3 linked regions of the Nothobranchius furzeri genome follow. The protein of the gene in region 2 interacts with the protein of the main gene of each other region in a biochemical or structural test. Links are inferred from orthologs where the notes say so. Each region holds a gene or a part of one and is shown on either strand. Other genes may lie near its edges. The genes, in order: ralbp1, ralaa and pld1b.

Region 1 (4,510 bases), on a different chromosome or scaffold from region 2:
TGCCCCTGGTGACTAGACTATGTTATTGTAATACATGTGAAAACCCATTTTAATTTACAAAGAAAACCTAAATATTGTTATTATATAAAATATAATTATTTAATATAATTAGTCGTTATCATTGTATTATAAAATCTTGTTATTGAACATTTTTTTTGTCACTGTAGGTGTGATGGAGAGGTGATGTTCCAGTCAGAGGAGCGCTAAAGGCCAGAGAAGCTATGACTGAGTGCTTCCTACCCCCCAGCAGCAGCCCTGCAGAGCAGCGCAGGGCTGAGCACCCGGGGGGCGTTGCTCGTACCCCCAGCTCCGAGGAGATCAGCCCTACCAAGTTCCCCGGGTTGTATCGTGCCAATGAACATTCGCCGCCTCATGATGGACATCACCACGAGGCACCTGACACATACGTCTCTGACGATGACAAGGAGCACAGCAAGAAGAAGAACAAGTTTAAAAAGAAGGAGAAAAGGAGTAGGATATGTTTTAATCTTCTGAAAATGATTATTTCTTCTGTTAAATCAAACCTGCTTTAGTTATGGGGAATGACCTGAAGCTGTTTTACTCCAAAGGTATGCTGGTATTTGTCACTAATCATTAGGGCTGAACGATCTATCGTTTGTGGATCGAAATTGCGATTTCAAACAGTACGGTCGTGACTGTCAAAGCTGCGGTTTTAGCGGTTTTGACTGATCCAGGATCAGTTGTGTAACTTTTTTTATTTTTATTTTTTTACATCCGGGGTTTTCTCCCTGTGTTATGGCGGTGGCATAAGCCAGAGCAGGGGAGGGGAGAGACTCCTCCCACATCGGAGCAGGTTCAGGCTGGTTTCTAAAGCTGGTTTATGCTTCATCAGCGTGACTGCAGAGTCGCGCACTTTAGTTGACTTGAAAGCTAAACTTCTCATTTAAAATGGTTTGAATGTTTCTGATGGCATATGTTGGTTCAAACAAGCTAAGGTGTCAGAATGTGTTCGTCTCTCTCACGGAACTGACGTTTTAGTGAGGAAAAACTATCAAGACGGCTTCGAAAAACGTGCAGCCGGCCTGCCTTGGAAATGCAGGGAAAACTGTGTGCATTTTTTTTATTTAATACATTTAAAAGCTATTTCTATCTACAGATTTCCTCCATGCATTTTTGGAGTAGAACATGTTTTTATAAACCTCCTCTCTAGATAAAAATCACAAGCACATGTTGCTTCACAAACACATTAAAAATTTAAATAAATATAATTATGGGAGAAAATATGAATAGCTTTAACTGTTTTTATTGTATGACTAAATAGTAAATATTAATGTGAATGATTTGTTGTACTAGATTAGAATCTAGACCATCTTTTCACTTAATCTATAGGATGGCTTGGCAGGCTAGTGTTGGACCTTTGTTTGCAGAAAATCGTGAATTGAACCGAAATCGCAATTTCTGCAAGAAAAATTGCAATTCAATCTTTTCCTAAAATCGTTCAGTCCCACTAAACATGGAAAAATGACTTCAAAGGTTTTATTCCAAATGCAAAATGAGACCTAAATAAATTGGAAGATATTTTTTATGGAATTTCAATAGATGAAGTGTTTGTAGAAGTTACTGATACCACTAATTAAGAAAGATTTTCAAACTACAAATATTTAGACTGGAATTTGAAAGCATACCAGCACATATTGTGACAATCCGGAGTTCTCCCTCAGAATTATGGATGATTTTCTAGAAATGTCCTGCCTGTTTTGTGATATAATGTAGGCAATGCATCTTTTTATTTATTTATTTTTTGCAAAGCCCATCCTCGTCCTGTAGAGCCTCATGCAGTTTGAAAAGTGTGCCGCTCAGCATCAGCCAGTAGTGATATCCGCCTATGTACAGATGTCAGTCAAAGAGCAGAGTTGGGGGCATTTCTCATGGACATGAATTAGCACAACTTGGGAAAATATACAAGACGGTGTGTTTCAGCCCTGTTTGCCAGCTAGAGGTGTGGCCATAAATATGGAGGTGGGGAGAATGGCTTAAGGTGCAATACATGTTTCAGCCTCTAGATGGCGGCGTCAGATAAAACAGTCCATATATCTTATGTGTTCATATGTTCTGCAAGTGCATTGGTTCAGTCCTTGAGTATGAACAATTAAGATTTTTTAAAAGCCGGGTTATACTGATTTAAGAATAACTTCATAGTAAATAGGTGACTAAAATGGATGAACCTGTGTGTACACATACCTGAGCATATCATAAAAATGTTAGCTTTAGGTTAAAATTAAAAATATGGTTTGTTTTAATTAATTTAATTGAATGTCCAAATATAACAAAGAAAAGTCTAAAGTATAAAAAATGTGTTTTAGAACCAGCAAGATGGTAGCTGTTAGCTGAAGGATAGCTGTACAGAATGAAGATGCAGTTCACACATTTCTACAACCACCATCAGCAGCAGACGGGGTGGGTTAAGTGTCTTGCTCAAGGACACAACAGAAGAATTGTCTGCCAGGGCATGGAATCAGTCCTACAACCTTCCGATTATTAGACAACCCGCTCTACCTCCTGAGCTACTGCTGAGGAATTAAGAGTGGTTTAAATCTTTTGCACAGCACGAGTCATGAAGCAGCGTTTAAAACAAACCAGCGAGAGTTTTTCAGCTGTTTAGGTTCGTCCTTCCTCTCCTTGCTGGTAGTGCGGTCAGTGTCTTTCTCTGTATTAGTTTTTCCATGTCTGCTTTTAGCTCCTGCACTCGTGTCCTGCGAGTGAAAGGAAGTGATGGTCAGTTTTAGGCCAACGCCCACTGATCCCAGTGACACTGACAAACAGGACCGATATAATAATACTAGTAAAACTGAGAAGAGGTCACTCGTTAGATATTAGAGATGATCGTCTTTAGGAGAAGCCAGCTGGAAGGTGTTGGGGGAGCTGTGCTCAATCAGAGGTGACCTCTTTTCCAAGTCCCCGTTCTCTCCCTCTGCTCTCTTTTCTCTCTCACACATCTCTCTTCCTGTTTCTATTTCGCCTCTATCGTAGTTCTGTTGTAGGAGGGAGATAAGGGCACCCTCCCTTCAGATTTAACCTCGTTTCTGCCTCTTTTTTTCACTGTTTACGTCCACAGCTGAGGGATACGCCGCCTTCCAGGAGGACAGTTCGGCAGATGAGGCGGAGAGCCCCTCCAAAATGAAGCGCTCCAAGGGAATCCACGTGTTCAAGAAGCCGAGCTTCTCCAAGAAGAAAGAGAAGGACTTTAAGGTGAAGGAGAAGGGCCCCAAAGAGGAAAAGGCCAAAGATAAAAAGTCCAAGGACCTGACGGCAGCAGATGTGGTCAAACAATGGAAGGAGAAGAAGAAGAAGAAGAAGCCTGTTGCAGAGTCAGAGCCAGTCCCAGTGGAGACCCCCACCATCAGGCCCATCTTTGGAGCCCCGCTGGGTGAAGCGTTGAAGAGGACGGCTCTGTACGACGGCATCCAGCTGCCCTCCATCTTCAGAGAATGTGTGGACTACATAGAAAACTATGGCATGAAGTGTGAGGGTATCTACCGGGTCTCAGGTATCGAACACCTTTGTTTTCCTTCAGAAGAAATCATAACACTCCTCTCTGAGTACTTCATTCATTTGTTTCCCGGCCAGGTATGAAGTCTAAGGTGGATGAACTGAAAGCCGCCTACGACCGTGAGGAGTGCCCCTGCCTGGAGGAGTACGACCCCCACACCGTCGCCAGTCTGCTGAAGCAGTACCTCAGAGAGCTGCCCGAGAACCTGCTGGGTCGAGACCTGGCCCAGAGGTTTGAGGACGCCTGCGGTCGGCAGACGGAGGCCGAGAAAGTGACGGAGTTTCAGAAGCTGTTGACTGAAGTGTCTCCTGAGAGCCGACTTCTCCTCTCCTGGCTCGTCACACACATGGACCATGTCATCGCCCGGGAGTCGGACACCAAGATGAACATTCAGAACATCTCCATCGTCCTCAACCCCACCATACAGGTCAGAGGAGGCTGTTTAGTGTCTACAAAGTACGCTACAGCCAAAGTACGGCTTAAAGAAGATAAAGCGACTTTAACTCAGACCTTCTCCTTAGCAACAAACCAACTAATTTTACGAGTTCAGTTCATCTCTGACACCATTGCCCAGTTCGGCGGGGCTAATTTATCCCCAGAGGAGATGCCCCACTTATTCTGAGCCAAAAACATCAGTAGCCAAAACAGCGTTAAATAAACACGATCGGTTAATGAGAGTATCGAGCTGAGTAAATATGCAGGAATTTGTGTTCTGGAGAATCTGACCTAGAAACCTTTGGGTTGGTCATCTCAGGTTCAGGTGAGGGACGGATGCCGTTGTTCTTCTTGCTTTGTGCTCATTTTCATCTTCCTTTCAGATTGGGAATCGTGTCCTTTACATCTTCTTCACACACGTGAAGGAGCTGTTTGGGGACGTTGTCCTGAAGCCGGTGGTGCGGCCGCTCCGATGGTCCAACATGGCAACGATGCCGGCTCTGCCCGAGACGCAGGAGAGCGTCAAGGAGGAGATTCGTCGTCAGGTGGGTTTAATCCTGTTTG
Region 2 (3,959 bases):
GCAAAAGGAATAAAATTAAACTGAAGCACTGGCCGTCCAGGATTACAGGATGAGTGAGTGGGGATTATCCAGTTTCACATCCCACAGGAATTCCTAAAGCCCCCGTAACCCTGTTTAGTTGCACTCCCATGATAAGCTAGCTTACTCTATCTACTCAAACTTCGTAGTGCTGATTTCTTTATTCTCACTCACCAGAATTAGGAACTGGTCACTTATTTGTGAGCAGTTTTCTTTGGTGACTGACAGCTCATCCATTTTATTCCTAAATAATAAAAGTATTGAGTTTAAAACCACATAGGACCACATCTGGAAGCCATTAGTTTCATCGTAAGTGTCAGAACTTCACGTAGAAAAGACGTAGTGTTTCTGGAATCTCCTCTTATCAGAGCACCAGGGATTCCTCAGTCACAGCAGAAGGCAACGGCAGCCATTAGCCCGGCCTTTAGAAGCTAGGAGGCCAGTAACAAGTTCAGGTGTTGCTAAAATCCTTCTCGGCTTTAAGGGTTCGATGTGGTTTGTGCATTTTCGGAAGTGACTGAGAAAAGGGGGGGGGGGGAATACCCATATTTCTATAATCCAAGAAAAAAGAAAAATGACCCTTTGCAGACTAATATAGTGCTCAAGAACATTTCCAGGAGTAAAACAGGAAGGAATGGCATCAAATTTCAGCTCTGGTTTGGATAATGAAATGTTTAAATAAAGAAAAAATCCTCCCCAGGTTCAGATAAACTTTCATTTTTTCTTCTGTGGCAAATAGGGACCTGTGGTCGGTTTGCTTTTCCTACAAAGATGTTAAATTCATTAAATGGATTCAGGGCTTTCCTCCTATCTTCTTCCATTTAAAGTTATTTTTACTTGAACTCAACCTGCAGTCTGAGTACTTTATAAACAACAAGCGTTACAATGAAAGGTTCATTTAGGAGCTTCGGGGCACTGATGTATGATGGGATCTAAGGGCCGTTGTAGTTTAAATAGAACAGGAGCGGAACGTAGCAGGGGGGTTAAACTCCTAGATAAGTTGCAGAAATGCTGAGATTAATAAAATATTTTAATTTAAAAAAATGACCAGTGCCTACTGTTTTTTTTTTGTTTGTTTGCATGAAGAAAATACTAATTTAATAACAAAAGTCTAAAAGTACAAAACTAGAACTGGTAGATGTTTGTTTTTAACCATAAATTTAACACTTTAAGAATATCTGGACATTCTTTTAATTTTCTACTTTATTCTTGGGAATTTTTAAGTTAATGATCAATTTAAAGGGACAATGTGCAGTTTTTACCGTTAATCTGGAAAGATCCATCGAAACATTGAAAATGAATAAAATAATGTCCAATCGTTGAAAAATATTGGTGGCTTCGTACCACATAACCATCAAAATCAGGTCTAAAGGGGGACGCCATATTAGATGCCATGTTTCCTTCTGGCCAGCTTGGGGTCCTGCGCCTGTCGATGACATCACACCAGATGATTGGCTGGAAGAACGGCTTATGGAAGTTACATTACCACGTTCAAAATCATTTAAGCAGTAAGAAACATGAATTTAATAACAAAACTGCTGAACTCTTTCCAAAACATGCATGAAAGAACAGAATAAAAAAAGAAATGAAATACATTTTGGCCGAGTGGTATTGCCGTAATAAGATGATGTCATCAGCAGGCGCAGAACTCAAGCAGTTCCGGAAACTACAGCGCCAGAAATCTAGCATCAGCATTCCTTTGATGGAATTAACTGAAGGATCATCAAAGTCTGAGGAGCCACGCCGAGGTTGCATGCTTTCTTCTCCGCAGGTAACGACATTTACTGTAATGTTTTTTTTAAACCAGCGACAGTCATGGCGATATGTTGTAAAATTACCCCGAAATGTATGTACTGCCCCCTAGTGCCAGGATACTACACACTGCCACTTTAAGTGTTTCAGTAAATTCACTTCCCTATATTTTTTTTTTCACAAATTTCTAACTTTAAAATGTCAATATCAGTTTTATTTTTGTAAATTTGTGTGTTTTAGATAAGGACATTTTCACACTTTTCCTTGCAAATGAAGGACTTTCAAGAACAATAATTGTATTTTTGTGTTTCTATGTAAATATGACATTAATCTCTACATTTCTTCTAGGATTTCATTCCCTCAGCTCTATATCCATATTTAATTTCTTTTAAATCAAAGACGGCCCCAATATGTTGTCAGAGTTTAAAAAAATAATAATAATAAAATAAAAAGAGTATTTGAATCCTAAATTATTTGGAGTGTCAGCACATAAAAAGTTAGAGTTATAAATGGTGGATGGAGTGCCGTCTTTACTACTTCCTGACACGGATGTCCTGTTAGCCAGAAACAGGAAGTGGTGTTCAGGTATGGGCACAAAATAAATGCAAAAGTCTGAGAAATGTATATGTACACAAGCAGCTAACCTGCAGAACTTCACTATAAAATACAGCATCTCTCTCTAATTCTCTTAGCCAAACTTTTACTTTTCTTCTTCCCGTTCTTTTCTTTGCTGTCTTCCATTTTCCTCGCTCGGATCTCTCTCATCAGGTCAAAAAACACCTGGACAGAAATAAACAAAATAAAATCTTGTTCTATTTGCTCCAGGTAAACACGGTGGGGCGACTGTAACAGGTGTGCCAACAAACCTTGTCAACATTGGCGCGGGTTTTGGCAGAAGTCTCCACGTAGCACACCCCCCACTGCTCAGCGCGGGCCTTGGCTTCGTCCGCGCTCACCTGCCGCCGGTCGTCCAAGTCCGACTTGTTACCCACCAGGAGGAAGGGCACGTTCTCATCCTCCTTCACTCGCAGAATCTGCTCTCTGCAAAACAGAGACGATGGATAGAAACAAAGCTCTGTAGGTGGTTTGGTTTAGAACAGCTGATAAAACTTGAAGGGATTTCATTTTGATGCACCCGTAGATCCTCCACCAGGGGGCAGTAGACAGAGCTGGATTTGAAAGTGATGATTGTTCTGCAGTAATTAATGAATCATTGGATAAAAGCAGATGGCTGCACGGTGGCACTGCTGATAGCACTGTAGCCTCTCCACAGGAAGGTTGCAGGTTTGAATCCCAGCAGCAACATTCCTAAGCGGAGTTAGCATGTGCGGGTTTTTTCACACGGACAAAAAAAAAACGTTTACTTCAGGTTAATTAGACTTCATCTTGTTCCTAAGAGTGAGTGAGGGGTTGTTCGTCTCTGTGGTGGACTAGAGATCTGTCTAGGATGCCCCCCCCCCCCCCCCTCACCTAATGACTGCTGGGGTTAAGCACCAGCTTCTACTGCTTTCAGATCACGAGTCAGTGAGAGGATTGACTGTAACATAATTATAAAATGTACCTGAAATCTACTGTTGCTGCGAACGACTCCAGTTCTGTGATGGAAAACACGCAGAGGAAGCCCTCTCCGCTACGGAAGTAGTTATCCCGGATGGCTGCGTAGTCCTCTTGGCCAGCCGTGTCGAGGATGTCAATCTGCACCTCCTCCCCGTCCAGCACCACTTTCTTCCTGTAGCTGTCTGCTTTAGTGGGCTCATAGTCCTCCACAAACTTCAAAGAAACATCAGCAGTTAAGATGAAAAGGCCTAAAATGAGTAAATCATTCATTCACCACTGCGATGCACTGACCTCGTCATACATGAACTGGAGGGTGAGGGCGGACTTCCCCACTCCTCCACTGCCCACCATGATCACTTTGTGAAGAGCTAGTGAGTTCTGTCCTTTTGGCTTCGCAGCTGCCATGACTCTGCGTTGATGCGCGTGTCGGGGGGAGAAAGCTCAAGGTGATGGGAGGAATGGTGAAGAGGTGAGAGGATTCCAGGTGAAGCAAAAGGCTCAATGAAGACTCCTGTGGGGGTTGAATGAAAGAGAGAGAGAGGGAATTTGCATCATGAATTCCAAAACCTGCATTTAATTTCAGCAGGTAAATCGACAGGAGAAAGTTGTTTTACAACAAATGTGGTGCAGGA
Region 3 (5,119 bases), about 20 Mb from region 2:
AAATTAAATTGAATTAAATTCAAAGAAAATGATTTTAATTCAATAAAATAAAACTGTTTATAACAAATAGAACTTTGCCAAAATTTGGTGTCGGTATCGGTCCGCAGAACCAGAATCTGTGCATTTCTAGTCTCCCTAGTTTATCTGGTTAGCAGGTTTCTAAATGATTTACAGCCAAAGTTAGTCGTTTTTTAAATGTTTGAAATATTTAAAAATAAGTTTGTAATTTTTCTAAAATAAAAACGAAGTCTGGAAATTTGAGGCTGGAGTTTTAAAATAAAAATAAATCTGTGGCAGGAAGTGATTTTGTGTTTGGTGTTGATGGTTCTAGGTGAACGAGAATACGAAACGTTTAACAGGCGGTAAAATAAAGATCTGATTTAAATGTGACGCCTTCATCAGTCGGACATTTGGCTCGGACACAAGCTGTGGCCCGTTTGTGAGACACGTCGCCGTTTCTGCGCTTCGGTCAAACAAAACCACCTAACATCAGCTGGAGGCCATCTTTAATGTTCAGAGATTTCATTTAAAACACGCACACACACACACACACCCATACGCTCATGCACGCGCGCACACACACACATGCCCATACGCGCATGCACACACACACACACACACACACACACACACACACACACACACACACACACACACACACACAGAACATATTTAAGTACAGACATCATTGGTGTCAACAAAATAAAAGCCTAGGTTTGTTCTCATTTTTGTAACTTTGTGAGAAAAATAAAAGTTTTACTGATTTATTTGAAGCAAACATTTTAGAAAAAGTTTAATAATCCAGGCGTTTGCAGACTTTAGGACTAAACCGTTTCACTTTAGAGGATAATTATAGTTTATGCACCAAATTTAACCATGAAGTTGAAATAGTAAAAAAAAGTCCCACATTCAGATTTCTGCAGATGCAAACAGGAAATAACCTCAGCTAATGAAGCCACAGCAGCTGAGTGCTAACTGATTTTATCATCATTTAAATATTTTTATTTTAATGTAAAACCAGAGTTTAGCAGCTGGAACCTTCAGTTTCCTCCTGCTGCTGCTAAAACCTGCTGCTGGGTTTCAGTTCACTACAAACATGAATATGGATAATCGTCAGCAGGTTTAAAAGTCCCTCCGTGAGTAAATAAGCTCCGTGTGAGCCGTCTGTTGTTGAAACACGAAGGAAAACGTCGGTTTGATGAGGTTTTAGAAGCTTAAATACGTCTACTTCTGCCTCGTCTCTTCCCTTTATACAACAAGATCATTTTAGGTAGCACCAGAGCAGAAATGTTAAAGCTGCTGCCAGTGGTTCAATAGCATCACTATGGCAACCACCAGTGGCTGTTAGGGGTTCTACTGCAGTGAGACATATGATGACATCATCACAGAGACAGAACAACATTCAGTCATGGAAAGTCCAGCTTCCTGTGTCCCGGTTGGACTCTGGATCAGGTTTCTACAGTCGAGTTTACCTGAGGGGGCGGGGCTTATTGTTAGAGGCTCCTCCTGCAGCTTGTTGCAGATATTGGGTACATCTCCCAAAGCTGCAGGATGTGAAACTGAACAAACGGTCTCCAGGATCATTCCTGTTATTTCCTAATTGGAGCAGAACGTTCTCCAGAGTGGGTGAGGTTCCTGCCTGCAGGCTGCTCCGTCTCCAGAGCCTCGTGGATCCTGACATTTAGCTGCTGCTGGTATTGATTAAAGGCTGGAATCGCCCATCAGGATGTGTGTGTGTGTGTGTGTGTGTGGCACAAACACACACACACACCCTCAAAGTAAATGAAGCACTCCCATCCTGTGGGCCGTGTTTACAGGCCTGGCTGAGTACCGTTAGCCCGTTGCCACTGAGGTGCAGATCTCCTGATCTGAGACTCTGTTCAGCCTCCCAGCAGCACGGCGTTCCGGTAATCTCCTAAAGTGGTTCTGGATCATGGATGTCCAGACTGTCAGGCTGTTGTAGAACTATGATCAGGGTGACTAGAAGCAACGACAGGACAAAACTAAAAGTTTCGAAACTAAAGAACCTCCAGATGATCCAGAAGTTATCGCGGTGTTTCCCGACTGAGCCGACTCCAGAAATCAGACCAAATTATGGTTCTGAGGGGGGGCCAGGGGCGGAGCCAGAGGGGGTTCAAAGAGGGCCAGATGGGCCCCTGATAAGCTCGAGGGCAGGAGCAAAACCAAGAACCATGACTGAACTTCAGGAGCTTCACCGCTGCTGACATGTTTAGGCTGCTTGAATATTCCTGCCGAGTTCCAGGTTTCCACAACAACCGTTTCCTTCATGTAAACGTGGGATTGCACAACCCACCGGGCTTTCATCCGATTTAGTCTTTGTTCTGCATATTTTCATCTTCTTTACGTCTGGCTGGCTCATCCCTTGAGTTAGAGGCAGAGGCTTAAAACACCCTGATCAAATCTCCTTTCACAGATTTAAGAAAAGAAGAAGAAAAGATTTTCTCTGACTTCCTGGTTGAGTCAGAAACATTTCAACAGCAGTTTCACAACAAATGAACGGAACCAGAACCAGAACACGGAGCCTGCGCGTGATTTACTGCTGGAGGTGAATCATCACCAGGAGTGATTTCAGAGGAGAAGGCGCTGGTTCTGGTTCTGACCCGAGCTGAGCTGGCTCTGGGTCAGCCTGTGTGGGGAGCTGGTTCTGGTTCTGACCCGAGCTGGTCGGAGGGAAGTTCACCGCGGACGGAGAGGAGAGCAGAGAAAAGGGGAACAATCATACAGGTCTGACCCGTTCCCATCCCGCCCACGAACAGCTCCAGAACCCGCCTCCCCCCGGGAGACGGTTCCAACAACCAGACTGATTAAACCCTGAGACCGAACCAGAACCAGAACCGGAACCCTGCAGCAGGATTCCTTCACACAGCAAATAAATATTAAATAAACCCGAACCAGCCAATCATTAAACAGCTCAACTCCAGCTAACTTCCCCAACACGATAAAACAAACACATGAAGCGGACCGAACCGGACCGGACCATCGAACCGGACCGGGACTCACCTCCTCCTGATGTGAAGCGACAGCAGCTGCACCTCTGGTCGGGAGACCCAAACCCACCTGATTGATGTCAAACAGCTGTAAAAAACCTGGGCACTACATCCGGTTGGCTCACCTTCAAAATAAAAGCCTATATCTGGGAGGAGAAAGGACCGCGAGAAAAAGTTTATAATGATTCAAGACTCCTGTTTAAAAACAGAAAAGGGTTAGCTCACAAAAACATAAAATACACACATGTGACTTCACTCACACTAGAGGCTCATTAGGGTCACCATGGTAACCATCAGTGACTCGTCAGCGGCGTGTGTTTAATGGAGCAGATGTGAGGGGTTACAAAGACCAACACTTCCTCCTTGTGAGATAACATTTAGAGCTAAATGTCTGTTATTATATTAAACTCTTGTGACGTCTGGCAGAGAGTCCGAGCGAGAGAGGATGCTGAATTTACCTCTTGTTATGGTTAAAGCAGCAGGGCGTGGCCTCCTCCCTTTTCTGTTCCAGGATGAGGCTCCTGCTCAGCACTGGAGCGTCTCTGCAGACAAATGAAGAGTAATCAGAATACTTCTGTTCTGGAGGTCTGGTGGCTACAAACCAGCTGCTGAATGCACTGAAGTCAAAGAAAATGAAATGGCATAACAACGTTCTGAGTTGTTTTGTAATTAGATGATTTTAACAGAAAGGTCAGCAGAATAAAAGAAAGTGTCAGACCACTCTTTAGGATAAAAATTAGGTGCAATAAAATAAAATTAGAAATCATTTTTTGAAAATGAAATACAGGCCATAATTATATTTTAAAGGTAATTATCTGTTCAATTCGGAAATGGAAACATTTAGACATTTTTAGTTGTTTTTAAAAACAAACATGCTTAAAACCTAACTGTGAGGCTTTTGTTTTGAAGGTTGAGTCACTTCCTGTGTAGAAACACTAGTCTGCTGTGTGATTTCCTGTGAGTAACCCAGAAAATCACACAGCAGCCTGTTTATTCTGACATAATTCACTTACATCTTTAAAATGTGAGAATTGTTGAGTAACAGTTAAACCAGACCCTGTTGCTGCTCCTGGTCCCTTCACTGCAGCTTCTCCTGCTGCACCTCCTGCTGCAAAGGGGACCAACAGGAGCTGCAGCTTCTCCTGCTGCACCTCCTGCTGCAAAGGGGACCAACAGGAGCTGCAGCTTCTCCTGCTGCACCTCCTGCTGCAAAGGGGACCAACAGGAGCTGCAGCTTCTCCTGCTGCACCTCCTGCTCCTGCTGCAAAGGGGAGCAACAGGAGCTGCAGCTTCTCCTGCTGCACCTCCTGCTCCTGCCGCAGTAAGGGGCCAGGAGCAACAGTAGGAGCTGCAGCTTCTCCTGCTGCACCTCCTGCTCCTGCTGCAAAGGGGAGCAACAGGAGCTGCAGCTTCTCCTGCCGTTCCTCCTGCTCCTGCAGCAGTAAGGGGCCAGGAGCAACAGTAGGAGCTGCAGCTTCTCCTGCTGTTCCTCCTGCTGCAAAGGGGAGCAACAGTAGGAGCTGCAGCTTCTCCTGCTGCACCTCCTGCTCCTGCTGCAAAGGGGAGCAACAGTAGGAGCTGCAGCTTCTCCTGCTGCACCTCCTGCTCCTGCCGCAGTAAGGGGCCAGGAGCAACAGTAGGAGCTGCAGCTTCTCCTGCTGTTCCTCCTGCTGCAAAGGGGAGCAACAGTAGGAGCTGCAGCTTCTCCTGCTGCACCTCCTGCTCCTGCCGCAGTAAGGGGCCAGGAGCAACAGTAGGAGCTGCAGCTTCTCCTGCTGTTCCTCCTGCTCCTGCAGCCACAGTGAGACAAAATAAAACATCTGCATGGAAATGAGCTGGAGTCTCTGACTGATAATTAAAATAATCACGTACTGAAGCTCCTGAGGTCTCACAAACGACAAGAACATAACGACGCTCAAGTTGATGCTTCGTCTTCTGCAGTTGGTAATAAATCTGTCCACAACCCCTGTTCCTGTGGCAGAGGAAGAGGATGCCTACAGAACCACCTCTGTATCTTGTGTCTGTCTCAGATGAGACGTGACAGCTCCACCAGAGCCAATCCTCCGGTGGGCGGGTGAACAGACTAAAGCAGAAACATCAGAACCAGAACC

The links.
Region 1: the proteins of ralaa (region 2) and ralbp1 form a complex in vitro, tested with the Homo sapiens proteins (3 studies listed by BioGRID). The link is inferred for Nothobranchius furzeri from reciprocal best matches to the Homo sapiens genes RALA and RALBP1.
Region 3: the proteins of ralaa (region 2) and pld1b form a complex in vitro, tested with the Homo sapiens proteins (2 studies listed by BioGRID). The link is inferred for Nothobranchius furzeri from reciprocal best matches to the Homo sapiens genes RALA and PLD1.

What each region holds. Positions count from the first base shown.
Region 1 is NC_091751.1:42,840,982-42,845,491, forward strand, and holds part of ralbp1 (ralA-binding protein 1), read left to right. Parts: intron 1-167; 5' UTR 168-221; coding exon 222-471; intron 472-3,076; coding exon 3,077-3,508; intron 3,509-3,588; coding exon 3,589-3,938; intron 3,939-4,329; coding exon 4,330-4,491; intron 4,492-4,510. UniProt on the Homo sapiens protein: Multifunctional protein that functions as a downstream effector of RALA and RALB. As a GTPase-activating protein/GAP can inactivate CDC42 and RAC1 by stimulating their GTPase activity.
Region 2 is NC_091747.1:43,592,579-43,596,537, forward strand, and holds part of ralaa (ras-related protein Ral-A), read right to left. Parts: intron 3,839-3,959; 5' UTR 3,733-3,838; coding exon 3,619-3,732; intron 3,541-3,618; coding exon 3,332-3,540; intron 2,812-3,331; coding exon 2,637-2,811; intron 2,551-2,636; coding exon 2,428-2,550; 3' UTR 1-2,427. UniProt on the Homo sapiens protein: Multifunctional GTPase involved in a variety of cellular processes including gene expression, cell migration, cell proliferation, oncogenic transformation and membrane trafficking.
Region 3 is NC_091747.1:63,395,420-63,400,538, reverse strand, and holds the start of pld1b (phospholipase D1), read right to left. Parts: upstream 3,539-5,119; 5' UTR 3,467-3,538; intron 3,117-3,466; exon of another isoform or gene 3,022-3,116; intron 1-3,021. UniProt on the Homo sapiens protein: Function as phospholipase selective for phosphatidylcholine. Implicated as a critical step in numerous cellular pathways, including signal transduction, membrane trafficking, and the regulation of mitosis.